Xenopus tropicalis: one gene and its partner. The protein of the gene in region 2 interacts with the protein of the main gene of each other region in a biochemical or structural test. Links are inferred from orthologs where the notes say so. Each region holds a gene or a part of one and is shown on either strand. Other genes may lie near its edges.

Evidence for each region.
Region 1: of the proteins of ikbkb (region 2) and map3k14, one has a biochemical effect on the other in vitro, tested with the Homo sapiens proteins (3 studies listed by BioGRID and IntAct, with this or other methods). The link is inferred for Xenopus tropicalis from reciprocal best matches to the Homo sapiens genes IKBKB and MAP3K14.

What each region holds. Positions count from the first base shown.
Region 1 is NC_030686.2:17,598,855-17,601,739, forward strand, and holds part of map3k14 (mitogen-activated protein kinase kinase kinase 14), read right to left. Parts: coding exon 2,793-2,885; intron 1,757-2,792; coding exon 1,606-1,756; intron 1,202-1,605; coding exon 944-1,201; intron 300-943; coding exon 196-299; intron 1-195.
Region 2 is NC_030679.2:130,593,586-130,597,766, reverse strand, and holds the start of ikbkb (inhibitor of nuclear factor kappa-B kinase subunit beta), read right to left. Parts: upstream 2,855-4,181; 5' UTR 2,590-2,854; coding exon of another isoform or gene 2,578-2,589; intron 937-2,577; coding exon of another isoform or gene 868-936; coding exon 811-867; intron 1-810.

The DNA of each region.
Region 1 (2,885 bases), on a different chromosome or scaffold from region 2:
AGAAAGATAAACAATATATATACTGTCAGTGGGATGTGGGTTGAGGATGATAAAAAGCTGAGGTTAGGGTGGCAGGGATACAAGAAAGGAGGGAATGCCAGAAAAAATAGAAGATGGGATGCAGGAAAGAAGTAGATGTAGTGGTGGAAAGGATGTAATATAGAAGTTTCTTCATCAGAAAATCTTCTGTCTCACCTTGTGACTGCGATGCTGATCCCGGTTGTCCTCACTCAGACAGGACAACATTTGCTCCTGTTCTTCCAGGGAACTTGCCAGGAACAGATCAGTGAGAAGATATTCTACAGAAGATGCAAAACAGAGGGCTCATTTATAATCACAAGTGCAAGTACTTAGACTAGTGTAAAATTATGCACACTGGGATCCTATTCAGAAAGGTACTTTTTAAAACTTGCACATAGTGCCATTGTGCCCATTCAGCCTCCATTAATGAATTGCATGAAAATGCAGATGCAAGAGAACCCTGGAAATAATGCCCACCTTGACATAGTGTTACTTCCAGGGTTTTATTAGCTCAGCAAATAATATAGAGTGAAGGGCAGTAGGTTCTGGTACTTAAAGTATAGTATATACAATAAGAGGCATTATACAGAGTGTGAGGTGGGGGATTCTTGCAGCACAAAAGTACATTGTATGCAGTCAGAGGAGTGGAATATAAAGCAGTGGGTACTAGCTCCCCAAGTTCATTAAACTGATTAAGAAGTAGTTGGCATTGGCAGACCAAAGAATATTATATACAATATTAAATACAATGAGAGGCCATGGGTGCTGGCACCCCAATGTGGCAGAGCTGTGGGAATAACAACATATATTAAACTGCCTCTCATTGTATAATGTTTTTTGGGGTTCCAGATCCTCTTACTGTGATTGGAGAGACTTTTAGTGGGTACATGTTATGGTGACAAACGCTCCTCTGGTGGCTCACCTCTTTCCTTCTGCTGAATTTCCTTCCCACACAAGATGTTTGGCTGCACTGCCCTGTTGTCAGTCAGGCCACTGACCATCTTCTCCTTGCTAGGTTCTGGCTTAGTTTTGTTAGGATTAGGCTTGGTATCAGGCATGGCAGGTTCATGTTTGGAAAGAGGGGTTTCAGATGCTACAGCAAGGCTGGGGGGTGATGTGGTATCTGGAAAGCTCCTGAGCATTTTGTATTCAGATTTCCATGGAGATTTCAGACCACCGACTAGAAGACAAAATACAAAGAAATGTCAATGACAGAATATTACTGATGGTTCCTGTGGAACTGTAGTTTACTTATAATAAAACAGCCACATGCTTTTGTCCAGGGGGAGGAATATGATTATATCCCATAGCTCTTCTTTATGTCAACCAATCATGATTCTCACTGTGTATCCCATGCACCTTAATATCAGTTTTAAGCCAAATGACAATTCAGTAATAAATGTTGACAGTTTAACTTATATACAGGGGCTAGGGGAAACCTCCAACAGAAATATAATTGCAAATTCATATTGAATAATGACAATTTAAATGATGATTTAAATGAAACTTGAGATATCTAAACCTTACCACAATTTGCAGCTTTCCTATAAATAAAAATATACATATCTTATTAGGTATTCTTACTTTTATGCAAAGCCAAATTCACTTTCTCCTGTAACTTTGCTGCCGTCACTCTACTGGTTGGATCTTTTTCCAGACCCGCTACAATGACCTCACGTGTTCGAGGATCACAGGTGGGGGGTATCTCCTGCACGGGGGGTGGCTCAGTGGCAATCTATACAGATGGTAGAGGAGAAAAAGATGTTTATCTGAACTCAAAGAGAAATCATCATCTAACCACATTATCATCACTGAAGGAGGACTTGACCCCCTGCAAATCCCAGCACCTCTCAAATGGCCTCCATTGCCCCTCCTTTCCTTTACCACCCTCCCCACAGAGTCTATTACACGCAAAAATGTGCCTTAAAAATGGTAGGCAAGTGGTAAAGACAGGGCTGGGCTGAACAGTTGTTTCTATCAAGCACCAGATGTTTGATCCGGCGTTCAGTGTGGATAGCGGCAAATCTGGGTGCTCTGTAAGTGAGCATTAAGAAGGGCACTCTTGCATCCCTTTTGCTTTTGCACTTGTGCCCCTGGGTATAATGAGTGTTCCTTGTGTAATAATAACACAAATTCTCACAATTTGACAATTTGATGTTAGTGGCGCAGTGCAGGAAACTGAAGTAAGGGCAAAACAAATAAATAAATACTAAGCATGGGGTGCAGGAGTTGCAGAAGCACATTGAATACAATGCAGCCAGCTGAAGTATGCTGAGAGTTTTAGTATATAGGGTCATGGTGCTTAACCAAAGCAGTCTAAAAAGATATGGCCTTATTTAATTAATCTTGTGGAGATAGAGCTACCATGCCACTGTCCATATGTGGGCCATTTCATAGTAACATAGTAAGTTAGGTTGAAAAAAAGACACACGTCCATCAAGTTCAACTATAATGCCTATATATAACCTTCCCAAATGCTAGTTGATCCAGAGGAAGGCAAAAAACCCATCTGAAGCTTCTTTAATTTGCTGCAGGGGGTTGAAATTCCTTCCTGACTCCAAGATGGCAATCAGACCAGTCCCTGGATCAACTTGTACTAAGAACTTTTGTCCATAACCCATCCTTTTTGGTCTTTGCTTTAAGAAAGCTCCAAAATCTTAAGTGCATGGGAACTAAGTCATTTGTTAAGGGCTAGTGAGAAATGCTAGAGATTACAGTGCAACAAGAGCTGCAGATAGGAAGGTTGGCATCTGACAGCACTTCATACTCACTTTCAGGCACAGAGGCGGTGTGTGAGTTCGGCTCCATGGGTGCCAGCCGTTAAGCATATGTAGCATCATACAGCAGGAGCTCCACACGTCCAG
Region 2 (4,181 bases):
AGAGATCGAGACACTAAGGAAGAAATTATAGCCCAGTGCCACATAACACATTAAGCATATTAAGGAACAAATAAATATACAATATTACAGACGCACAATGCCCAGTGCCTGGCAGCATGAAAAGGGGATGTGCAGCTGCAACTGGTCCAAGCAAAGCACACAAAGATATGGCGGTTAGCAGAATGAGGAATGGGAGGAGAGAATGCAATTGCAGAAAAGGCAAATGGATAAAAATTTGCAGAGGAAAATGGAGAAGAGAAGGAGTTGCAGCAAGCACCCAAGGGGAAGACAGAAGATAACAGATTTTAGCAGAGAGAGGTTATTAACTCTTCACTACCTTTTCCTGGATCTACATTTTTCAGTTTATTTATATCCAGCAATATTCCTATTTTTTTTTATAAAATGGAAAAAGTTTGAGATTATCAGGGATTGCTATCACCTCTCTGGGTTTCATACCCTGTTTCTCCAAAAAAATATGATTGATACATGGTGCCATGGGGAAACCTAATCCTGAAAGAAAAGGGGGTGATGGAACCACAGAGCACAAATATATTGCCACAGATTGGCAGTAGAATCCAGTGAGGCATATGGATTTTTAACTATACAGGGCACAAACCAGATGTTACTGAAATACAACTGGCGGTTGGAGATGGAGAGGCTCAGGATTTCCATCAATCGTAGACACTACATGCATTGACATGAGCTTGATGGGGGGTCATGGGCATAACCATGTGGCAGCGGAGCAGCCTGTGCCGCAGCGACATTAGTGAGAGACCACACAACGGACTAGTTAGACACATATTCCCTTACCTGGTGAATCCAGCGCAAGACATAACCAAATCCCCCAGTTCCCAAGCGTTCCTTCATCTCCCAGGGGCCACATATCTGCGTGTGTGAGGGTGGCGGTGCCCAGCCGGCCCTGCCAGGGGAGGCATCCTGGGAATAAGCAACATAAGACAAATGACTATAGATAAGAGCAGGACTGAAGGGAGCAAGCTGACCCAGCAGAAATCCTCATTTTAATACTAGATTATCTGATATATTGACTACATGGTCACAGGCCTAATATATAGACTACATGGTTACCAATGGCCAGACATTCGCCAACGGGCAGCCTGGCATGTCACTCGCCCATAGGCAGTCTGACACGACACTCGCCCGCGGGCAGACTGGCTCGACAATCGCCCGCGGGCAGCCTGACACGACAATCGCCCGCGGGCAGCCTGACACGACACTCGCCCGCGGGCAGCCTGGCACGACACTCGCCCGCAGGCAGCCTGGCACGACACTCGCCCGCGAACAGCCTGACTTGACACTCGCCCGCGAACAGCCTGACTTGACACTCACCCGCAGGCAGCCTGGCACGACACTCACCCATAGGCAGCCGGACACGACACTCGCCCGCGGGCAGCCTGACACGACACTCGCCCGCGGGCAGCCAGACACGACACTCAGCCGCGGACAGCCTGACACGACACTCAGCCGCGGACAGCCTGACACGACACTCAGCCGCGGACAGCCTGACACGACACTCAGCCGCGGACAGCCTGACACGACACTCACCCATAGGCAGCCGGACACGACACTCACCCGCGGACAGCCTGACTTGACACTTGCCCGCAGGCAGCCTGGCACGACACTCGCCCACCAGAAGCCTGGCACATCACTCACCCGCGGGGAACGCCTGACACGAAACTCTCCCATGGGCAGCCTGGTACGTCACTCACCCATAGACAGCCTGGCATGTGACTCACCCATTGGCAGCTGGACAAGACATTCACCCGCGGGCAGCCTGACACGTCACTCACCCATAGGCAGTCGGACACAAAACTCGCCCGTGGGCAGCCTGACACAACACTCGCCCACGGGCAGCCTGGCACAACACTCGCCCATAGGCAGACTGACACAACACTCGCCCATAGGCAGACTGACACAACACTCGCCCATAGGCAGACTGACACAACACTCGCCCATAGGCAGACTGACACAACACTCGCCCATAGGCAGACTGACACAACACTCGCCCATAGGCAGACTGACACAACACTCGCCCATAGGCAGACTGACACAACACTCGCCCACGGGCAGCCTGGCACAACACTCGCCCATAGGCAGACTGACACAACACTCGCCCACGGGCAGCCTGGCACAACACTCACCCATAGGCAGACTGACACAACACTCGCCCATAGGCAGACTGACACAACACTCACCCATAGGCAGACTGACACAACACTCGCCCATAGGCAGACTGACACAACACTCGCCCACGGGCAGCCTGGCACAACACTCGCCCACGGGCAGCCTGGCACAACACTCGCCCATAGGCAGACTGACACAACACTCGCCCATAGGCAGACTGACACAACACTCGCCCATAGGCAGACTGACACAACACTCGCCCGCGGGCAGACTGACCCAAGACACCCCAGAGGACAGCCTGACCCAACATTTACCAATGGGCAGCCTGGCCCAAGACTCACCAACCAATATGGTTGCTACCTCCCCCCTTTAATACCAGCCACACAATTAATTTAGATGAATGCTGCAAACTGAAGCAATGTATGTGTCCCTTACCTGGTGTGTCATATGCAGAGCCGGGGGCGTGTCTGTCTGTCAGTGTGTGAGTGTGTGAGTGAGAGGAAGAGCTGGGCGCCCTGCCTGGCCGGCTGCTTGGTGCTTCCCAGTACTGGGGTATGAGGTACAGAGCCTGGGGGCAGCTTGGGGCTACAGTGAGAGGCAGTCCCGCAGCATGACTAGTGCCCCTGGGCACAGCTGAGTGTGTGACTACTAGAGCAAACCCCCTACTTGCCAGCCTCAGTGCCCCTGTGTTGCTTCTCAGCTCTCAACATCCATTTCCTGGTATGATGTCACCGGAGGGGGCGTGGCTAGGCTTAAAGGTAAAGCGCTGTTGTTTTGGTTCCGGGTTCCCATAGCCAGGGATTGGCCCTTAAACTAGAAATCCAGTCCTGGTGTTAAAGAAACCGAATCCTGCTCTATAAGTAAATAGGGAAGCAAAGAAAGAGAAAGCAAAACCAGGAAACAAGGGGGATTTCACCTTCAATTAGGGCTGCTTTACTAAATGGGCAAAAGGAGCATCTGCCCAGGGCCCACTGAGTCACTATTATTATTGTTTTTATTTAATTTACTGTAAGATGTACTGTGAAAGGAGCTGGGGCAGAAGTGACAAACAGAAGGAGTCGGCTGTGTCCTATTCTGAGCCCTTGTATTCTCCCTCCCCCTGTGGTGCTGTCTCTCCGGGGGGAGAAAAACAGTAATGGTGGCCATACATGTTACAATTATGATCTTTCCTGCGACGATTGGTCACAGGAAAGATCGTCTGTACCCTCCACTTAAGCTGGCCATACACGTGGCGACCTGACGATGTTTCGTGCGACCATCGGTCGCACGAAACATCGTCAGATCCGCCACACACCATTCAGAGCTGAATCAGCAGGTAAGGAGTTAGAAACAATAGGATTTCTACCTCCTTCTGCCGATTCAGCTCTGAAGGGAGATTTTGGTCAGGCGCCTTCTATGGCGCCCAATCAAAATTTTTAAACTGGTCCGATCGGCGAGTTGTCCGATATCAGCAGCTTCCTGCTTCGCCAACATACCATACACGCACCGAATATCGTACAAAACGAGGTTTCGTACGATATTATCGGTGCGTGTATGGCCAGCTTAACGTTCAGAACTAATCGCCAGGTATGCAGGTAGAAACAAAGGAATTCTACCCCTATGTGAGGATTCAGGGCTAAGGGCTAGCCTTTGCTCAGGCGCCTCTAAATGCCCCATCCCTCTCGATCGATGAGATGACCGATATCCAAGACCTTTGCTGATATTGGTTGTGTCTCTCCATGCACGCACCGGATATCGTATGTTATGACTGGTGTGTGTATGGCCACATTAATAGAGTTGCCAGCAGTCTGGAATGTGACTGGCTTTTAACCCTACGGAGTGGCCCTGCAAGACAGTTCCTAGATGCACTAGGTATAGTTAAAAGCAAGGCACATTCCAGAGAATTGGCAGCAAGTATGCACTCCTAACAAATAAATCCAGCGCTTACAGGCTGCCTGACGGTGATGGGATTTGTAGTTCAGCATGATGGCCAGCCTTCTGCCTGTCTTGAAATGGTTTGGGACCACATTTTGTCCCTGCAATGAAATGCTGGGGCGTCA